Linked DNA regions of Drosophila melanogaster. The protein of the gene in region 1 interacts with the protein of each later gene in a pairwise test. Each region holds a gene or a part of one and is shown on either strand. Other genes may lie near its edges.

Evidence for each region.
Region 2: the proteins of mr (region 1) and lmgA interact in a two-hybrid assay, tested with the Drosophila melanogaster proteins (2 studies listed by BioGRID).

What each region holds. Positions count from the first base shown.
Region 1 is NT_033778.4:23,970,210-23,976,608, forward strand, and holds mr (morula), read left to right. Parts: upstream 1-2,221; 5' UTR 2,222-2,299; coding exon 2,300-2,362; intron 2,363-2,423; coding exon 2,424-2,940; intron 2,941-2,996; coding exon 2,997-3,235; intron 3,236-3,310; coding exon 3,311-3,491; intron 3,492-3,550; coding exon 3,551-4,252; intron 4,253-4,303; coding exon 4,304-4,567; intron 4,568-4,632; coding exon 4,633-4,874; intron 4,875-4,930; coding exon 4,931-5,131; 3' UTR 5,132-5,199; downstream 5,200-6,399. Other genes in the region: CG3065 (uncharacterized protein), read left to right, coding at 486-1,688; PPP1R15 (protein phosphatase 1 regulatory subunit 15), read right to left, coding at 5,669-5,878, 5,939-6,399.
Region 2 is NT_033779.5:8,524,499-8,541,530, reverse strand, and holds lmgA (lemming A), read left to right. Parts: upstream 1-13,025; 5' UTR 13,026-13,221; coding exon 13,222-13,479; 3' UTR 13,480-13,571; coding exon of another isoform or gene 13,572-14,669; 3' UTR 14,670-16,532; downstream 16,533-17,032. Other genes in the region: CG17834 (uncharacterized protein), read right to left, coding at 295-1,073, 4,068-4,300, 4,460-4,637, 5,263-5,324, 5,452-5,471; lmgB (lemming B), read left to right, coding at 13,572-14,669; Acer (Angiotensin-converting enzyme-related), read right to left, coding at 16,751-16,788, 16,847-17,032.

The DNA.
Region 1 (6,399 bases):
TGTTAACTACACATTTAGTTTTAGATATTTAACTGTGCTAAACTAATAGCAATCAATAAATACAACATTGAAATCCGATATCTCCGTACACGCATTCAGTCGCATCTCTTGGTCCTATCGACTAGTCGATAATTCTCATCGCAATTAAATGGATATACTTCAGTATATAAATAAAATAAAGTAAAATAAGCAAATCCGCTGGAATATGCAAGCGCGCTAGCCGAAAACAATTGGAAAATGTGTGCGGGACGCCAGGACCGACTATAGACCGTTTTCCGAGCTGGCTATGGTGACAAGGGACCACAGAACTGATAAATCCTAGGCCGACGCCCACTGAACACAGTTTCCTGTACAGGAGTGTAGTTTTGGATAAACGCAATTTTGGTAATTAGGGAGCGGTAGGCGCGCAGCTGGCAGTAAAGTACCTCCACTCTCGATTCCAGACATACCGGATAGGGCGCTAGCGAGCCCCAAACGTAAGCACAATGTCACAAGTAATACCAAACACGCCCACACCCCAAATGCTGACGACATCAACGCCCATAGAACCCATGAAACCACCACCAGCGTTTCCCACGATGAGCGGCGCAAACATACACGAGCAGGCGTCCGATATGATACTGCGGGCCTCGACGATTTTCGAGGACGTCAAGCACGACGAGGCGAATGTGGAGAATGTGCCCCATCACGGAGTTGAGACTGAGCCTGAGGACGACTCGCACTACGGCGGGAACGGCAACTCTAAGATCCGCATAATGCCCAGTGTGAAGCTAATGGCCACGACGCTCGCCTCCGATCCCAAGCGCAAGTTCGTCTGCCCGTATGACAACTGTACAAAGAGCTACGGCAAGAGCTCCCACCTGCGGTCCCACCTCACCTGGCACACGGGCATCAAGCCCTTCGTCTGCAGCGAGCCCAAGTGCGGCAAGGGATTCACGCGCTCCGATGAGCTCAACCGGCACCTCCGGACGCACACCGGCGAGAAGCCCTTCGAGTGCATCCAGTGCACCAAGAAGTTTTCCCGCAGCGACCACCTCACCAAGCACCTAGCTACCCACGACCGCCAGCTAAAGGGCAGCACCCCGAAGCGAACAGTACCGAGCAGCAGTGGTGGAGTCCGGCTCAAGCCCCCGAAGAAGCAGATTCATTCGGAGTCGGACTCGGGCTTCCACTTCATGGCCGCCATGGTTGGTTGCGGGGAGCCGAGCATGAAGCACCACCACCAGCAGCAGCAGCATAACCAGCACCAGCAGCCCGTGAGCATTATCGACATCCACCACAAGCCGATAAAGATTAAGCTGGAACGGCCGGAGCACAGCGACAAGTACCAGATCGTATCTCCTGAACACCAGATGGATAACCATGGCCACAACCAGAGCCAGTTGCCCGATTTCCTTAACCAGGCGAAGCCCGAGGTAAAATACGAACCGACCGAAGAAATTGTAAATACCCTCTCTCAGCTACCGCCGGCGGACGGACCCGGCACGTATGGGATGCCCCAGTTCGTTCAGGATCGGCCTTTCTACTGCCGGCAGTGTGAGAAGCGGTTCAAGCGGCAGGACGACCTCAACCGACACATACGAACGCACACCGGGGAGAAGCCCTACGCCTGTCAGCAGTGCTGTCGCCGGTTTGTGCGGAGCGACCACTTGAAAAAGCATCAGCAGACGCATTTGAAGATACGATAGTTTCATAGTTACTCCTTACTCCTTAAGTCGCTAGCCATTGGCATCCGCATCCAATCGATATTGGCTACCACACGGGCGTGTGTCGGGTGACGCACACAGTACAATAAAATTAAATAAATTCGCAATCTAACTATATTCCTATGCAAGATCAGCGCCGGCTCTCAAATCTCAATTTGTATGTATGTATGTAAATAAGTCGTATGCAATTTAATTTTAGCTCTAACTGTTTGTGTTTGCCGGAACGTGAAGACATACATCTGTATTTCTGAAACTCTTGCTGTTTCTTATTTTCTGGCTACTAAGCTCCCCGTATCTATTAATATAATTTATTTTAGTAAAACTGTTATTTATATTTATGGGCTAATTGATGGGGAACTGATAGTTCATCAGGATCAGGACTCGATCCAGTTTGAAATTTGGAATATGATTAATAATGGCCTATAAGAATGAATAATAGATATATGTATAATTTCTGATAAATCAAAGATTCATCGACTATCGGTTCGGTTGATAGAATCGACTTATCGATAACAGCATTATCATCACCATTGGCGTTTGATTCAGAGTTTCAAGCAATGTTTTGCACTGTTTAAAATAATTACACACAAGCGATGTGCGACTTTGACGCTTTGTGGGCGGATGTACTGAGAATCTTTCCGGTTTTGGGTGGAGCGGTAGGTTTATTCCTTCGGTTCAGTAATAGGGATTGGCGCTAGCACTCAGAAACTCTTACAGAACGCTGTATCCAATGATCCGGTTGAGGAGAATGTATTCCAAAATGTTCGCCAGCACCTGATGGTGTTGGGCAGCATAGACACCTTCGCGGCGGTTGTGGACCTGGAAATCCAGTCGACTATTCGGAATGTCCTGGTGCCCAAGTTCTGGAAGCACATCCACGACGGCTTGGTCTCGTCTAAATTGCAGGGCTGGATTAACGACCAAGCTCTGGCCATAGAAGCACTGCCCGATAAGAACGGACTGTTCACCCAGTTCATCGACGCCATCAATGAGCTGCATGACAGCTTTCAGAGCCTGATGCAGGTGAAGCCCAGGCTGATCCAGCTAGTTGGAGCTGAGACAAAGCCCACCGCAAAGACGGTGAAGCTCATGCAGGAGGAAGGCATTAAGAACTGCTTAAGGGACTGCTTGCTGGCTCAACTGCCACCCAATTTCAGTGTGGTCGTTGGGGCCTTCTACTGGGTGCACTTTAAGCTCTTCACCAAGGCCTCAAATCTCGCATTGACCACAGTTGGTATGTATCCGATACATACTCCTGTGGTTCCCATGCTCACTTGCTTTCCCCTTCAGACTCTGATGTTTTCGATGAGCTCCTCTGCGTTGGCTGCAACTTCGAAGCAGAGCAATGCTGCTGCCAAAGGCTGACGGATATGGTTAACAAGACAAACATGAAGCTCTTCGAGATGAACCTCATTGACCGTCTAACTGGGAGTGCTTTAACCGCTCTCATCAAGCTTAAAATCAAGGAGCACATCAGCGATACATGCATGGGAATCTTCGACAGAAGTCATCTTAAGCAACTGGAAACTGTAAGTTGAATGGGAATACCTTCTGTTGTCATAAATAAACTACTTAAGTAACTCATTTATTACCTACCTTTGCAGTGGCTATCGGATGTCATAATGTCCTGGCTCACAAACATATTCACGGAATGGAAGTCTAAGGATAGCATAAGCGATATCGAAGTTCCCGAGTCTGTAAAATCCTTCAAAGTCAAACTGACTTACTTTATGTACGAAACGTTTGCCCAAAGCGTTATTGGTCAGTTCTTCAGCATTATAATTGGTATGTGCCCGTAGATTCAGCCAAGAGTCCCCCAACTACATGTATTTATTTGTAAACAGACTATCCCGATTCCATTCCGGCTATAGATGACTTAAAGATTTGCATGGAGAAAATAGATATGCGAGTCTACCTCACTGAATCCCTTAGGAACTCGCTAGAGGCAAGGATTCTGCATCCTGGAGTCAACACCATGGACATATTAACGGGTTACGTGGCAGCCATCAAAGCTATTCGCCATCTGGATAGTACCGGAGTCATCTTAGAGATGGTAACTGCTCCAATCAAAGATTACCTGCGGAAACGAAACGACACAGTGCGACGCGTAGTCACTGGGTTGACTGAAGAGGGGCCCACGGACTTATCCGAGGAACTCGCCAAGGGAGAAACAATTAAGGAATGCAAGGACTCGGGTACCGATGAGTTCAGCAACTGGGAAAATTGGCAACCCGATCCGTTTGGTATAGATGCCAGCATTATGCAGTACAACAGCTCGCGGAAGATGAGATCGGCCGACATTATATCGATGGTTGTAGACATATACGGCAGTAAGGAGTTGTTTATGACAGAGTATCGCAATCTAATGGCGGACAGACTGCTGGCCCAGTTAGATTTTAATTCCGAAAAAGAAATTCGAAATCTGGAACTGCTGAAAATCCGCTTTGGCGAATCGCTGCTGCACAGCTGCGAGGTGATGTTGAAAGACGTAACCGACTCCAAGCGAATTAACGCGCACATCCACAGCGATGGCGACCGAACTGAAAGTGAGTTACTTTTAATTTTCAAAATGCTTTAACGAAACCATCTCATTTTAGATCAGTTGTTCGACATCTCCTCGCTGATTGTTTCTGCTCAGTTTTGGCCGTCCTTCAATAAAGAAAGCCTCCAACTTCCTGAGGAGATTGAGAATGAGTTCAAGAAGTACACCAAGGCCTACGAGGCATACAAGGGCAACCGTACGCTCAACTGGCGTACAGTGACTGGCCGTGTAAATATTGAAATCGAGATCGGTGACCGGACCATGGAAATGGTTGTGAGCCCCATTTTGGCGGTTATTATATACCACTTTCAAACTAAGAGTACGTGTTTACAGGGCAGTCAAGTTTTACAGTTTTACAACCGCATGGTCATATTTTTTTTTCAGATGAATGGACTATCGAGGATCTTAGTTCCATTACGAAAGTTCCAGCGTCTGCACTGCGGCGTCGTCTGAGTTTTTGGCAAAACCACGGATTGATCTCGGAAACGACACCCGGAATATTCACGCTGCTGGAAAAGGAATCGGAGAAGTCTCAGTACGAGGACATGAGTCTGGCAGAAGCTGACGAAGAGGATTTGGAATCCGCAATGGCTTCTGCCAGCGATCAAAGGGAAGAAGAACTCCAAGTAAGTGCCTTCAACTGTTCCTAATTCCGGCTTTTTCTTATACAATTATGCCGCAGGTTTTTTGGTCCTATATTGTTGGAATGCTCACGAATCTTGACTCCATGCCAATTGACCGAATCCACCAGATGCTGAAGCTGTTCGCCTCCCACAGCGGCGGAGTGGAGTTTACTCAGGATGAGCTGAAACACTTTCTCCAGCGAAAAGTCAGGGAGCACAAGCTAATATTCTCGGGTGGAGTTTACCAATTGGCCAAATAAGTTTCGGAGATCCAAAACCAAGTTGCAAACGACTGAAGGAATCATGAAATAAATAATGAATTAACGCGATAACATTTATGAAATTTACTGCTCCATGTTAAACGTACCTATTTTTTCAAACTGCCGTCTTATCTGTTTCTATTCAGAGCTTATCTCTCACCCACGTACACACAAAGTCTTTACCCAAACTTGTTTGGCTTGGGAATTTGGAACACAATGCAAGCAATCTTATGTGAAAAGAAGAACACACAGTAAAATACGTCTATTGCTTAATTTATTTCAAGTTATATTAAGGTATATGCTAATCCCGTTATCAACAAATTCAAACTTCTTAGGGCTCTAAAACTAAAGGCGAAGAAAAGTGTACGTGGTTTTGATATACTTTACAGGTTAAACAGTTTTTGGCTTCATAAAATCAATCACGAACGCAGTGGCTAAATCGATCACTTTATACACGCAAACAACTTGGAATTTAATGCTGTAATCGTTCTAAACTGTAATCTGTACATCAAAAGTTACTTCAGGTATGCGGACCAGCTAGTCCTCGTGCAAGAATCGAGCTTGGTAGACACGATCTCGGTGAACTGGAGTCAGGACGGCATTGAGAATGGGTGAAATCCGCCGAATCCGCTGCTGAAAGCGATCCCGATCTCGCGCCATTACCTGCCATTCGCTCTTTCTGGCAGCCCGATAAGCGTAGTCCCAGGCGAGCATTACGTGAACTTCGGGTTTCATGTTGAAACGAACCTGTGCGCATAAATAGGAAATTAGATATGCCCACTTATGCCGCGCAAAAATATTCTTCACCTTCTTGACAGGAGTCGAGCTGTCGTCGCTGCACTGGCAGGCCTTTAGCTCCTCGGTATTTTCATCCTCACCGCATGCTGTAAACTGCACGCTGCTGTCGTCGTCATCATCATCCTCGTCTTCCTCGACATCCTCATCCGCCTGCTCTGCGTCGTCCTCAAAGCAAATGAAGCTGTCCTCACTGCACTCGGAAATACTACGCTGCCGCTGCCAGGAGCTCTTGGCAGCCGATCCTTGCGAACAGCCAGCGTTGTTATTCCGGTCACTGGAGGCTTGACTAGTAGGGCAATCCTCCGCGGTATCCTTAAAGCCGTGGTGCGGATGCAGGTCAATAAAGAAGTAGCACGAGGACGGTACGCAACGCCGCAAGGCGTCCAACTCGATTCCCGCCATCTTGGCGCCCGGCGGACTCTGGGCGTTGACGCACTTGTGCAGGGCGGTCTGCATTTGAGTTACTACGT
Region 2 (17,032 bases), on another chromosome or scaffold:
CTCGCATTTATTTCTTTTAAAATGGTACAAATAGATATCGTTTAGATTTTTATAAAGATTTATTAAGTAGGATCTTTAATCGCTGTTTTTTGTGGTAAAATACAATTTATTTTGTAATATCAATCATTAATTCAAAATGAAGTACATCTGAATACTGAGGAATTGTTTGGACAAGGTCATTGCTTAGAAGATAATACAGAAAACGCATAAGCAGGTACTAAAGGCTAATAAATTTAAAACATTAAAAACATGGACAAAGTGATTAACAAATAAATATGTATATCTGCAGTGCGACTAGTCAACCTGCTTGCCCTCGTCGCGATTTCGTTTGAAGGACACGGAATGAATAAGTAAGGGCGGTAGATTGCCACGCAGCATCTGGAGTCGTTTGCTCTTCTCCTTCTCTGGCCGTCGCAGTTCGTCCTTGGAGGACCCGGGCGAGGCAGAGGACGAGGCCATCGATGGCGACATGGAGGCCAGTGAACTGGCGCCGGGCAGCACCTCAGAGCTCTGGGTCAATAGCATGGCAGATCGACGGAAGTAGCGCGGCATGGAGTAATCATCCTGTGTGGCCCGAGCAGCATTCGCCGTTTGAATGGAATAGAGACTCTGCGATACCCGGTACTTCTCAATAGTGGGCGTGTCCTCGTAGTTCTTAGGCAGATTACTGAACGATATCGATGGCACCTCCGGCGTCATGCTGATCTGACTGCTTCCGGTCATCGTACCGCTAATGGAGAATATATCCGTCTCACTGGCCGACGAACGGACATTCATGTGCGGAACGCTCTTGGCGGATCGCAGGATCCGTTTGGGCGTGGTCGTCAGTCCACTGGGGTTGGCCAGCAGATGAGGATGCCGGTCGATGAGGCGAGGTCGCAGCACCACCTCCTCCATGATCTCCTCCTCCTCATCGGCCTTGTCGTCCTCCTTCTCCTCCTCGGCAATGGCCTCGAACTTTTTGGGAGTAAGTGTCGTTTGGCTACCCGACGGCGAGCATTCGGCCGAACTGGGAGCCAGGGTGAAGGTGATTCGCTTCTCGGTCGATCCTGTTCTCGCATCAGTGGCATCTCCTGCAAAAAGAAGATATACTCCGTTTAAAAAGTGTTCTGCATTTGCAAGTAACTAAACCCATATTATTTAGAGATATTGTCCTGATTTCATTGTACCCTAATTAGCCAGCTGCCAGAGAGGACAATATTATCTTTGGAAGAGTTGGAAAAGTAGATGCCATTGTAAGACGCATAAAAGGTTGGCAAACAAGATAACGGTTGAGTTCATGGCAGATAGGAAAGATATGTGCAGATAATAACTAGCCCTCGACTTTGGCTAAAATGGAAATTTTAGAGGCGGAACTTACTAGTTAAGTTTTATAGTAAATTTAATAGATTATTAGTCTTGCCTTCTTTTGACTTAATATTTCTGTACTCTTAAGATTTATAAATTTAATTTCATTTGACAACAAATACCCAAGCAATTGGGTAAGATGCATTTAAGCATCAAATGAGTCGTACCTTATCAGTATTATTTTTTATAGTATTCATTCTGATTCAGTCAATATTTTAGTATATAATTGCAATAAAATTTTGTTTCTTTATTTGGATAACAACATTGCGCTTTCAAGGCAAGTCATTTTCAAATATGTACATACTTAGTAAAGTCGCTTTGATAGTTTATTTGTGAAATGAAACTTAAAAGTAGGATAAAATTTAGCTGCAGTTAAAGATTATACTAATTCTGTTATGTAAAAATATGTATAGATACTTATGAAATCATTTAATTTACTGCCTAATAATTCTTAATCGGTAACTACTTAGATTTTGTTTTGAGAAAGCAAAATGTGTTAAACAATACAATATGACGTATGATTTAAGTATCGTCAAGACCCCCGACAATAAACGTCAGCTTTATAAGGTATAAGGTATAGGGTTCTGACGAAATAATATGATGTAGATGTGGAAATACTTAAAACAAAACAGCTATAAACTGTATAGGAGCCATTGACTGGCGAATCGGAAAAGTCATCCGACATTAGCAAGAGAACGTGATGACTACGTGAATGTAATTAAGATATCTCATACACACGTATGTATAACAATATAATTTACAAGTATAAATAAAAATGAAAATAGTACCGTGCATAAAACTTAATTGACAACTGAAACTGGGCTATTTATTGTTTACTGATCGCTGTTATTGTTTCGTTTTATTTCGAAATGAAACCTGAGATTATTCGAACATACAATCAATTAAACGCGATTTGTTAAATATCGATACATACAACACCTGCTGTTTAAATATTTTTAATTGAAAAGATCAATATATAATTGTATATTTAACATGCATAATATGAAGACGGAATTTATTTTCTATAGATATACTGATGTATTGATTATTTTTCAATTAACCTAAAACAAGTGAAGATGATATCTATATGTTATCATTTTTGCTTGGAGTTTTTAAATGTGTTCTATAGAATGAAATGACAGCTCTAAAGTTCTACAAATTTGACGATTTCTTTATTTTTATCAGCTAAGGAGGAATCGATTGTTAGCATGCAAAAACTGATTACCAGCTCGAGTTTCTTATCTATAAAAAAAATTACCTATACGTGTATTTTTGACAAAATACATAAATGGGCAGAAATATTCATATTGCATGGGTGTTTATTTGCTGTTAACACTCTTTTATATGGTCTCGATAAGAAAATCGAATATTTGACTAATTACGTTTGGTTCGTTTTGCTGATGGAATGGGCTTGGTGGCATAAGTCGGTCGCTGTGATTAACCATTTGCGAATATTGCGATAAATCAGTGGCGCAGGCCTAATAGCCCATTAAATCATCTCCAATTGCCAATGGTTTTATCTCTGCTTCCAATTGTGATAACAAATGTGTGACGTGCCGCAAAATATGTTTCTTTTTTTTATATATAACTCCAGATGAAACCAGTACCTTAAGGTGCTGTCTGCGTCATTGAGAAATAAAATTGTTAATTAAATTTGGACTCGGATCCAGATTTGTTCTTTTCCGCTCTTCCTCGTTTGGAGGTTCGAACTTCGAATGAATGAATTTCTTTTTTTTTTAAGCCAAATGGGGTTAATGGATTGTGAGTCAAGCCTGCGGAAAAATTTGGATTGCAAAAATTTGTAATAATTGTTTGAGCAAATGTGAAATTTGCTTTTCATATCGTCTTCGAAATTTGTTCATATATTGCTTATGCATTTTTTAGATTCCCTTTTTAATAAGCCAAGACTTTATTTGATTTTCGTAGATTCTCAGTGAAATCATTTCAACCACTTCTGAGAAATCTATCGAAAAACTGAACGCTTAGAATGTGAATATGTTTGACTAAGCGATCCCAGTCCCATGCAATTAGTAAAAGCTGTTGAGTAATGCCAACTTGACAAACAAAGCAATTGTTCAAAGTGCACAAAACAATTTGCTAAAATGATGGTAGGCGCGATTTAAAGGCACGACGATGTTGTATTAATCAGAACTTTTACGTAAAGATGAAGTCAGTAGTCAGTCAATTTAAATAGCACCTAAATATATATAAAATATGTGGAGCGTAAAAGTGAAAACCAAGCGAAAATTTTGTTTAAAAACTTTATGAAAATCATACTGTTTGCTCTTTGTCGCTTAGGACTAAACAATTACAAGGTCCAACAATTAAGACTTAAATGGTAAACGTTTAAGCTAACTTAAATTAGGCTACTTAGGAGTATAGATAATACTAAATGCCAGTCGCACTGGCATTGCTGTCTCTATCGAATATTGTGTAGCAACACTTACAGCTAATTAGTTAATAATATTAAGTCACATTTTGGCGATATTGGTCACTCTCCAATTGATTATATCCGCATTGCGAGAGTTCCTCAATCTTTGGCACAAATACTGCTAGTACCCATTGAACCCCAAAACCCATCGATGTTCAGTTCAGATAGAACTTGACCTTGGGCACACCGCTGGATACGATGCTGCTGCTGCGGGTGCTCTTGCCGCTGCTTTTACCATTAGCAGCACCACCCAAAAGTGGGGTGTGTGCACCACTGGGGCCATCATTACCTTCCAGACGTCGCAGCAATCGATCCTGATCGCTGAGCCGCGGAGTTGTCGGCATTTCGCGATTCGGCGAATGGATTCCGGCCAGATAGGTCTTGGTGCTGATCCGGTTCAGCTTGGTGGGCTGATGGTCCTGGAAGATTTGCGAATTGGCAAAAACCGCCAGTATCTCCGGTCCCAGGTTGGGCACATTGATCTGTGTCTCCCGACGATAGTCCTCCTCGTGGATCTTGGCGCTAAAAGGGCCACAAAGAAAACAGATATTGGTTATAATGTCAATTGATATGGCCAACAGTAAGCCAACACGAGCATGCCAATTAATCGCTAATCGCCAGCCAACCAAACAAAGTGCGAAATGCGATCTCTGGATTGGGATTTGATCTATCTATTAGTACCTCATTAGGCTCAGGCCCAAGCTCGAGTTGCCCTGCCTCATTTGCGGCTGATCGCAAATCGGTTGGGGCACCGTCAGCGAATTATTATTATCCACCGATGTCGGTTGTATGCGTCCAATGATCTGGCCATTTTTCCTGGACGCCAAGTAGTCCTCGTCCTCCTCGGGATTGTAGTTGGCTGAGAGGCAAAGAAAGAGCAGAAATTAGTAAATGAAAAAACCGTAATCTTATAAACAAATTTATTCCAGAAACTTCCGAGTCTTCTCTCCTTGAATTTCATTTTCAAACAAAATGTGAGTCTTCTACAGAAACGAATTTGATCTAAGCTATAAGCCCAACTCTACCTCTGGAATATTCTATCGTTAAATTCTTTTAAGTACTTATTATTATTCATTTTTTTATATAAAATAATAAAACTATTTTGCCTTTCTATACATGCAAGCATTTATGTAAACAAAACTTGTCGCAGCTTACTTAAGCGCAACTTTTTAAGATACTCTATATGCAAGTTTGGCAAAAGTGCCATAAAACTGATTTATCAGCTTGTGTTTTATTTTTTCCTTTTACGACTCGTACTCGATTTCAAATGCCAAACACGTTAAATCGCGCAAAAATCGCCGTAGCATTGTGCGTTTCAAGATCTTATTAGTTTCTTGTATGTGTGTGTGTGTGAGGCGTGCGAAGAGAGTGAGTATTTGAGTGGCAGTAGCCGAAGTACTCGTACTCGTACTCATTTTCAGGTAACCGTAACCAGAGTATCCGTATCCGTCAACTGCCCAAATCAAAAAAGCTCAAAAACTTACCGATGGATTCGTCGTAGCAGAAACGCTCCTCGAAGCAATTCCAGTAGAAATCTTCCCAGCAGCTACAAATGGAAATGGATAAAGAAAAGGCAATTCGGAATGTGTGTTAGCCAGGTGAATTGTTGGCTCGAATGCGGAGCAAGTTGTCAAGCGTGGTGGGGTAGGGGGAAATTCGTAGCGTTTACTCACTTTTGACAGCAGCGGCACATTTTGTTGTTGGCTCCCTACCGCTCTTCCTCTTCCTCTTGTTTTCTTGACTTTATTTACTCTCCGCTCGAATAAAAAATGAAGAGAATCCGAGTCCGAAAATCGTTGTTGTGTTGTAACAATGCTTTGATTAATTTATGATTTCTGTTTGGGAATAATAAATTAAATTCGGATTTGTTCGACGAGGACGAGTTATGTTGTTATTGTTTTTATTGCCTTTCTGCGGAGGAACGTGCGGTGCGTGTGACTCGTTCCAGAAATTTTTTTTCAGTGGCGAGCGGTGAGCGTGTGAAGACAGCTTTTATCGGCACATGAAGTGGCCCCAAATCGCGCTCTGATGGCGCTCTCCACCCGCTCTCCACTCTACACTGAGGGAAACACGCTACTGAATTTCAAGAAATTGGTTTTTGATTTTCGAAACCGTATTTTAAAATAACAATATGTTCTTATGAATATATTAAAATATTTTTTAACAAAACACTCAAATATTTTGTTTTATGTTTTTAGAAAAACGAATTTATTTATTTGAATTGAAGCGTAGTTCAATAGCGTCGTTGCACCAAAATATTGCTCATACGACACGTTTACCTTGTAAAACCATAACCAATTCCCGGCTATTTTTTTAATATGTCTCGATTCGTTTAAATATTTGTTAAATAATATCATGTAAAGAAATATTTAATTTATAATTTTTTACTGAGAATAATTTTTCCATGGACATTTTTTGAGTGTACGTGTGTGTGATAAAAGTGAGTACGTTTGAGAGGAGCTACTGGAGAACGCTCTCTTTCACCCACTTTATGAACTCATCTCTCTGGAAGTGGAGCTATGGCAGGGGGTGGTGGGCTGGGGCAGAGACATTTTTAGAGAGCCATTGATCGATCGCGCATGATAGATTACTGCCAGAGAGTGATGATTTTGCGACAATTTTTAACTATTTTAGGCGCTCTTTTGCTCTCCCCATTAAACAGCGCCAACTCTCTCTTTACGCGCTCTCTTGTGCACCGTGGGTCAGGTGGCGAGAGGCGCGTCCACAACATTATCAGATTAAAATTGCAAGAATATTTTATAATTTATGAGCAACCGTTATCTCATTCTATACCGTTCAGCTTAAATTCCGTTCGCATTATTTCGCAGACATTCAAGGAGCTTAACGCGCAGTTTATAGACAGTGTTAATTTTAATAATGTAAATGAAGAAAACAATATGATAGAAAATATATAATAAGCATGGACTAATGTAGTTCAATGTGGCCTACTCTTGTCCCACTGTAACTTGTTGCAGTATTGTGACACCTGCTCAAGCCTTGCACTTCTGTCGCGTGTGTGTGTGTGAGTGGTGGGCGTGTGTTGGTGGAGTAATTGAAACTTTTTAAACTTGCACCGTGCACACACGAAGATAACCTCGCTACACATGTACTCGTGTTTGCCTGCCTGCGTTTACTTAACGCTTTGAACGATAAGCGTTTCTGCAAATTGAGGCCACATTCTCTGCACAGGTGAGTGCGTTGAGTGGTGGGAGGCGTGGAATCCACCCAAGGTTCGCCAATAAGCATACTTTTGGGCTGATGAAAAATCTCCTTTACTCACAAGCTTCGCCTCTTTGCTATCAGCGTTTTCTCTTCCTTACAATCTTATCAATAGATTGCAAATTCAGTTTTGTAAACTCATATCAATAGATTACTAATTCAGTTTTGTAAGTTCTTATCAAAAGATTGCTAATTGAATTCAAACGAGCTGATAAAGGACAACTCCCTAAACAGAGTTCAACAAACTGAGCCGTGAGACCAAGTGATCAAGTGCAGACGAATGCGTTTATTATTACTAGTTAATTCGTAAATGACTACTTTCATTGCGCCAGCTTAACAATGTTTTGTTGCTCAAACCTCTTTTTTGGTTTATCTCCAAGTTCATTCTACGAACCTAATCTCTGAATGCAGATAAGTTAACTCCCCGATTTGATTTGACTTTAAGGTGTCAAGAACCAAGACAATTGTTTGCCGGTTGTAAAGATATGTTTAACACCGAAAAAAGAAGAAATTTAAACATTCGTGTGTTAGCTTCTCCTGAGTTCATAGACCACAGCGAATCATGATCATGTGAGACCCAGCTGCGACAATCGATCAATTGTTTGTCTTTTGATAAAGCCGTAGATATATTCGTAGCATTCATAGCATTCGAAGCATTCGACGACAGTTGAATTGAAAAGCGCTCAACACTCATTAAACTTGCTACGATGACGTGAAAGGGGTTGGGGGTGGGGCCATTGGTAATTGAATGTCAATCAGCTGCGCTGAAATGAATAGCACTCATTTTGTTGCTACCTTTTCGTTGTCACTGTTACTTTAAGCCGTGTAATGCAATTTGTTGATGTCTACACGTTTTATGCGTGAAACTCATTCCAACTCGAATGGCGTTATGCGTTATACAACACACCACGAGGGGGGTTGGAGAAATATTGGAATTAGGTAAGCTAATGGGATTTCAGAAGCAACAGTGATTCCATATAAAATTTTTCTTTTTATGACAACTTTTTCACTAGAAAGTGTATTATAACCAATTTAGTTCTGCCTTACAATTTCAAAACTTCAATTTTTTCGAACTCACTTTTATGCTATTTTTAGTTTCTGCATAAAGTGTTCTTACTTAAAATCTCTATAAATTAAAACTTAACTGTAATTATAAATTAACTTGACATAAATGTGAATTACCTTGAAACAAGTCAAACAACTTTTGCTAAAGCAAAGTGAAAAAATCATAATTTGTGGATAAAAGCTTAGCCACTTAGTCAGCTTCCACTTGCCATATACCAACCCTTTTCCGAGTCATTAATTGGGGTAAACAATTTAAAAGCATTCAGCGAAAATCATTTAAGTTGTCTCTGTCTTTTTAATGGGCTGTGAAAAGTTTGCGATTAATATCTCGTTAAGCAAACCTGACAAAGCAAACAGCATTTTGTGGATTTGTAGTTCTTTAATTTTCTTTTAACCTGACCTTTGAACTGGGTCGAAATTGAATTGTTTTGGTAATTTGACAGAAAAATATCGCATGCCACAGGTAAAAAATTTGCGATCGAATACTTCCGCACAGAGTGAAAAACAAATTCAGCACCAAAACTGAAATGCGAACAATAACAATCGGATTACAATGTATAATTTCGCGAGTCACTCGAGCGATGCATGCAATGCGGTGAATTCTTTCAAACAAAATTACAATAAAAACGAAACTGAAATTCATATGCATAACCCATTTCCACAATTCAGATGGAAATCATTCCTAGGCTTTGGATTAAACTATTGAGCTATAGCTCAGCGGTTTCTTTTTGAAAGATTGCGCTTTATGCACTTTACTTAATTAACTTTTAATACGCCTGTCGGTCATCCCTTTCCCTCTCTTTAACCACATAAAAGATTTTACGACAACCAAACGAGTTTTGTGGCAGTAAAAAATATATATGTACACGCCCATATATAATATAATAAACGACGAAATGAACATTATCTAGAATCTCTCACTGGAAAATCACCGAAAAGTTTAAAAGCGTAAAAAAGTTGGCTTATTTCTCTGTTTTTTTTTTTGCATTGCAGGAGAGAAACGAGTATTTTTATCAACATGATCTATTATATTATTCATTATTCCATTTCTATCGTGTGTTTGCTAAGTAGAAATTCAAATCGAGTTCCCACTTCATTTAATTGAGCTTGGCATTGTTCGAAATATTGCGAGGCTAAAAATGCACATATGTATCTACATTTAAGTAAATAATGAATGATAACATATATGGGTATAGAAAATTCCTGAGTAACTTAACATTTCTAATGCTCTTACAAGTTTTTAAGAAGTATTTGTGAGAATTTTGGAAACTTTTATTATCACCTTTTGGGTATTAATATCTCAATCTGATTTACGATGCTTGGGTTCAATTCCCCTCATTTTGGATACGCATTTTCCGGCTTCGAAAATCAACAGATGGTTGTTTGCTGTTGATTTTTGGATTAAGTCTGAAGTGTAAATTACAATAACCCGTCAAATAAAATCATTCACACGCAACGGGCATCTCGGAATCAGTCTCTATAACTGCCCAGAAAGATCGAACCCAGGTGTCATTAACCGCAGCCCGACTTGCAACTTGGTTATGAACATGTGTATGTTATATACATATATATATGTATATAGTGCTCCGATCGGTTCATGGCAAACTAAAAACCCCAGACGACAAGTGGCGTGCATTGGCCTCGTTTCAGTTTTTAGGCTTTGACAGGCATCAGACATCAGAGACTGACTTGTATTCCGATCGAGTTGGACCTGCATTGCCGTCGAGTTTCACTTGGCAACCGAAAACTTTCCGCACCCTGTCGTTTTCGCAACTGCAGATCGATTCTCGAGTGTTTTTTTTTATATCTTTTAGTTTTTGGAGCACGCGCGTTGATCTTTGTTTATCTTATGAATTAGTAACTCAAACTCAAGCGTAATGGACCGCACAAATATTTTCGATTCGTGTCTGTCGTCGGCTGGACTTGCTGCCTTAATAGCCATTTTGTTAGCATTAATAACTTTTAAATGAACGAGCAAGAAATCGATTATTCATAACATTCACTTGGAAATCAAAATATACTTTCCATTAAGCTACCTGATAATTCAAAAAGGGAAGTTCTGAAGTTATTCTCAACACACCTTTATTTAATGAATGAAACCGGAATTAAATTTTAAAAATAAGTCAGCTCAATAAACATCAATAATTGATAATGCAAAATCAAGGATTGTTAAAGGGTATTAAATCTTAAATTAAATCTTTTAAATACTTTTAAGGCATAAGTATGAAAATGATTTTAAGATAGTGCCACAAATTTCCCATTGAGAAATAAACTTCACCTTGTTGCTCCACAACGTTTACCGTAATCAATTAATACACTAAAACAAAATGTTTTTTGGTTTCTTATTCACAGAGATAATAGCTGCAATTAACAGCAAAGGTTCCCTTAATTGTTTGCCCATTAATTGAGTGGATCGAAAAGACCCTGAATATAAAAGTAATTCCAGCGTAAACGGGAAATACTCTACGTGAATCTGAATCTGTTTCTCTAGAATTCAGAATCTCATGACATTACATTCCCCTTCTAAATGCTGCGGCTAGAACGATTAAATCGTACTTTTTTATGAATGAATGCAATTTATGTAGGCGATCCTCGATTCCATTGTGATCTTTTCAGTTCCGCGATTTTGTATCACTGTCTGTTTTCTCAGGTGTGTGAGTCACAGGTGTCTCATAAGTAATTTTTACTTGAATCATTCACTCAGAGCACGTTCATCCTCCAAGATGCTTCCTTAAAATACACTGCGAGTAATCGTATATACATACATATGTATACACACTTATCTCGTCCAAATCTGCCTGACAAGTATTTTGTTTGTCAACCCATTTGCTTCAATTTTTATCAGTAATCACTTGATTGTTCACGACCATATAGCGCGGGTACTAAAGCTATATTATAGCACTTATTTCTATTTCGTCTGACGATAATGCAGCTTGTCCTCACCACACCGTTTGCAAGGCAAATGCAACGCCCGATTTCGAAAGTCTTTTGACTAACTTTAATTTTGAAGCGTATGGCTTTAGCACGATAACAACAATTTTTCGGTTGTCTACGATTCTAGATTAGATATGACATGACGAAAGGAAGAGTTCGGAAATGTTAACGACCAAAAACTAATCGTGGGGATATATACAATCAATCAAATTTGTGTCGAAAGGCATGATAAACAGAAACAGTTGGGTCGACTAAATAAACTTGGTAGTTTCTGAACATAGTTAGTATTTCAAAAGTGTTTATCTCTTAACGTTATTAATCACTTTTTTTTAACATTATGAGTCAATCTAGTTTAGGATTAAGCATGCGAGCACCAATAGCCATAATTCGATGAGTCATAACCAAATTCACAGCTTCAAAGTGTTGTCTGGTTGCAAATTGTTTATTTGGACTCGTATCTAAGGCGCTAAAGAGTTTAAAAAATCCGTCATTTCATAATTGTTTGTTTATTAGCCACATTTTATGGACGAGGCACATGACAAGGCAAGCCAATTCAAAGTGAAATAAATCGCAAATATCGATTTGAAATTTCGCATTGCAATTGCAATGAAAACTGATGTTCACAAACAAACACATCATGTTTTTTATGGATGCCTTATTGGTACACTGTATGTAAGTGATTCGCAGAATTCGAGAAAATCCCGGGCGTGACCAAAAACCGGAACACCAAGTCAAGTAGCAGAATCTCCCTGCAAGGCGCAAACGGTTTTTTCCAGAAACAGGCGGCACAAAGAGTTCAATAAACTGCAACATAAATTCTTATGCTAAATAATTGCTATCATCGAGTGGTTTTTTTTTTTGTATAGGTGGGTTGTGAGGGGTGTTTACTTGTTCTTGGAAAATCACGAGGCTCTGGCTCAGGGTCAACAACGTGTTGTATGGCGCATTATTGGGCTTATTTTTAATATTATTCTTGCCTGTATGGGTGTGTGTATTCAAGTGCGTTTTCAATTACAGGTTCTTAAACAACGCTCTGCTGTTGAACTTCACTTTTTGTGTTTTGATTTAATTTCACTCTCACAAGATCGTTCACTTCGCAGCGGCACCTTTCGATTAGTACACAACTCTAAATCAACTCCGTTTCGCAGGCACTTTCTTTTCACTCACAAGGGTTTTTTTTATTATATGCTGATCTCGTTCGCAGTTCCACAGAACCTTTGCTAAAAACTGCGTCACACTTGGACAAAACACAAAAGCAATTTTTGAGCAATAATGATCACGCTTTGCACGCGAAATTGTCGAAAAAACACAGTGGGAAAAACGGGTAAAGCTCGACGATCGATCGATCGAGCTGCGCGCACGTCTGTCGGGTTCAACAATCGTCGGCTAACTGAATGCGAATAAACCGGAGACAACAACTCCATCAGCCCCCGACAACAAAACAACACAAGGCAGCACCCCCCTAAAGCCTCGTCCAATCCGATGGAGCATGAGCATAAGCTTTCGGAAGTTGTTTCAGACACGATTCGCTCGCATTGCTGATTAAAGATCTGACCTGGGTTCCGACCTGTCATTGCCGAAAATTGTAATTGATGGCCCAGCGGCTTCGAGAACGTGGCCTTGATATTGAAAATACTACTGTTCAACTATTACTTATCCGACAAGGAATGACTTATTTTAACTATAGCAGAAAGGTTTTTAATTCACCTGATTGTTTCAAATAGTACTTTATCTATGATTTCTTATAAACAAACCAAAGTTGAATACTCCCGCCAAGGATCGATATCTTTTTAAAGTACGGTAGATGTATATATAAAATCGATAGCTCTATGAACTGCTTACAAATGCCCATGTCTATGATCAATAAATATCACTAAGAACACATCAAATGTACTTTGTTACAATATTCAATAATCAATACTATACTAATATACAATAAATAAAAATATATCGTTTACTATAACAGGTCATCCCAAGTCGCACTGCTTGTCCGACGGCTTAACTCCATCTACACAGCGTCCATCTCTAAGTCCAATCGGCCAATCGATAATCGGACCTATCGACCTATTTTCAGCAGCCTAACTAAAGAAAAAAGGCAATATTTTGCAAAAAACATTCGGAAACGGTCGAAAAACACCCGCTTCATTGGCCAAAGGAGCCGTATTCCGTGCAACGCAAAGCGGCGACAAACCAGACAATTGCCGTGTGAGACAAATGTGCGCAAAATGAAAGTGACAATCAAGTCATGGACGGGAGTTGCAACTTGGCGTTGGATAGCGAATGACGAGAACTGCGGTATCTGTCGCATGTCCTTCGAGAGCACCTGCCCGGAGTGCGCTCTGCCCGGTGACGACTGCCCGCTGGTGTGGGGTGTATGCTCTCATTGCTTCCACATGCACTGCATCGTCAAGTGGCTGAACCTGCAACCGTTGAACAAACAGTGCCCCATGTGCCGCCAGAGCTGGAAGTTCAACGTGCATTAAGAAGCCCGCGTTATAGTTCTAGTTACTAAATACCCGTGAGGATCAGGATCAGCAGTAAGAAGAAACCGTAGAGACATAGTAAGCTTTATCAAATGATGGAGAACAGCAGCAACGATGCCCAGCCGCACTTGACGGGTCTGCCGCCACTGCCAAAAAGTCTGAGCGCCGCTACGGCGGCTCCTGTGGCCATTGGCCCCCATCCCCGCACAGCCTCGCCGGCGTCCAGTGTTAACGCACTGACCGTAGCCGCCGGAGAACTATACCTGGGCCCCTCCACCTCCTCGTCGGCGGCATCACGAAATCGTAGCTACAATGGACACGGACACAGCCAGCGGCACGGTAGTCTTTCGTCCACGCAGGAGTCGCTCAGTGATCGGGAATCTGTGCACAGTCGCGCTTCCAGCACCCACAGCGCTGGGGCTGTTCACACACCCACTAACAGCTCGAGCAGCACTGGAGCCACCTCGTCGACCATCGACAACCAGTTGGCCATTCTGCGACGGGAGATGTACGGTCTGAGGCAGTTGGATCTGTCGCTGCTGTCCCAGCTGTGGGCGCTAAACGAGTCGATACAGGGATTCCGTGTGTTCCTGCAAGAGCAGGACGCACTGTCGCCGCCCTCGAGGTCCCGTACTCCATCGGATGCGAATTCCTTGAGCTCCGACGAAGAGGACGATGGCTCCTATGCGCCAGTAGCCTTGCCTAAGATGACAGATACTGCCGGAGCTGGGAGTGCGGGAGTTGTGAATTCCAGGGCCATGGCCTCGCCGGCAGCCAGCGGAGGACTGCCCACAAAACTGGCCACTGGCTCGACCACTTCCCACGCCTCAACTAGCTCCACATCAGGAGCCTCTGGCTCCTCATCCGCTGCCTCCTCGATGGGGAAGCACCAACAAGTGCAGCAGCAACAACAGCAACAGTCGCAATCGGCTAACCACTACCATCAGAGGCCAGCGCCACCACCCGCACCACCAGCTCAGCACAAGGCGCATCCACAGTTGCCGCGCATCCTGCAGCAGCGCATGAGACAGGCACCGCCACCGCCGCCACCCACAAGGCAAAAGGCGGGCGGCGGTGGTGGAGGCGGAGCGAGCACCAGCAGCAGTAACCACAGCATCAGCAGTGTCACCCAGCCGCATCCACATTCACACCAACATCCCCAACATACCCACCATTCGCGACCTGTATGACAAAACCCGTTCTTGGACTAAGCCAAGTTCAAGAACATAAGCAGATTTACATAGCAGCCGCTGCCAACACTTCGGAAAGGGTCAATTAGACGACATTTCTTCAAGAGTCAATTCAAATTCAAGTGCAGAAAGATCCCACACACACAACACTCACTCTATCAACTCAACTATCAACTCATAAAGCTTGCCATGGTCCCTCGTTCTTGATATTGAATCTCGAAACATATGAACGGTTTATAAATGTTTTTTGCAAAACGATGAAAATGTCTTTGAATGTAAGCGTACCACTTTTCACGTTTAATATTAAATAATAAACACAAAAAATTTGTATTCAATAATAATCGCTAAGTAGTAAAGGATAAGATCCTTATATGCATCTATGTATTACTCAAATTGTATAAACATAAATCTAAAATGCTTGAAATTCCGCATCGAATTCATAGATCTAGTTATATTATTTGCGTTGACTCTGAAATGTTTTGTTAGAATGCATACTATCCAACAACAAAAACTAAATCAAATTGTTCCAACTCATGTAGCACTAACCAAAACTAAACTCTTGGCCTATACATATGAATATCTGGATTGATTTTATAGCCCTGTTAAGACTTAGTTTCGTAATGGCGTATCGATTGGAAAATTATATATTACGAACATGTATCTGCATCTCAAAAGCAAAATCTAGCTGATCTTACTGTTAGTCCAATAATCCTATCATTAAAAATACAACAACAAAAAAAACTAGGCATATATATGTAAAGCTCAAGTATTGGAGCAAATCCCCCGAGCAGTTGTGCAGTGCGTTTCAGATCTATAAGTCAGTTGCATGTTCCGCGAAGCAGAAAACCATTTTAAACTAGTTTCGGTTGTATATTTTTCCAATTTGTTCAAAAATCTTACTCCGCAATCATGGATAACTGCCTTGTAAATGTGGAACGCATTGCATATAATATTTATATTCTAAATACATATACAATTTTTACCAAGTAACAGTTACATTGATGAAAATGCAGTAGATACCATCGGTATCTCCCATATCACAAGCATAAAGCGGGAGATTGCGAAATGAAAACAGATTTACATATATTACCTAATCAAAAATGATACAATTTCCAATATTTATTGTTAGTTCTTAGATTGTTTTATTTCTCAAAACAAATTCCTTATAATCTACTAAAATTAAATCACCCTATGAAGTTAAACGATTGGAATTAAAATCCACACGATCATATTTGACTGTTCTTTATTTCGTTATCATATACACACTCCTCCAACAGAGACTACAAATCAAAATGTGCGGAAATTTGATACCAACCAGATCACAAAAGCATCGATATACAAGCAGAAATCATAAATATACTGCAGCACAAGTCGCAAAATGTAATCACTGATCAAGCTTTGAATATCTCGGCTGGAATATGACCTATAAGGATTTAATGTAAGGTTAACCAGTTAACAAATACATTTTCTTGAAAGCAATAGCTTATCATTTTCGATGGTCAGAAAATTTTAGAAGTCATGACTTGATTTCCGTTTTAGCAAGACCTTTAGAACTGTTTGGTAACCTATAATTTTTTATAGTGTATTGTATTCTATACTTTTTGTGTTGTATACAACAACAGCTTCCATTAAAGATCATATTTTATTCGAGTTATTCAAAGTAGCATACGGTTAGAAGCATCAAATAAATTTGAGATGAACTTTTGAGCGCTTTTGCTGTGTACAAAAAGGCAAGCAAGATATCGAAAATTTACACTGACCGAAACATATACAACTTTGTGGTTGAGATAGAAACACAATTCACGAAAGGCTATAATTTATACAATTTTGTTTATGACGAAAGTTGGTGGGTGAGATATCGTTAAAAAGTGTATTATGTAATGGCAATTTATTAATAAAACGAAACGAAACGATACGAATGAATCGATACAATAAATATCAATTTAAATATCAATGCGCATATGCTGTGAATTAATTATCGTTCTTATCAAGTTTATTTTGTTTGTTCCTAATGACAGACTAAACCAATATATTTGTTTTCGGGTTCTAATAACCTCAAGTCAAGTTTGGGATGGCTCAGTCTAGGTGCTAAACGTTCCACAGCAATCAGATGGGATTTCTGCAAAGGGATACAGTAAATTATAGTTAGCAGTTACTGTTTAAATTCAATTACTCACTGTCTGTTGGTCCCCAGCCCAATGGCACACCCAAGCGGCTATTTTCCTGCTTAAGCCACTGGTAGAGCGGTTCAAAGTACTCCAGCAGAGCGGCTGGGTCCATTTCCGTTTCGCCTGTAAACTCCTCCAACACCTCCTTCCAATGGCGTGAGTTGCCCTTTGAGAGGAACTGGCTCAGTGATCGTC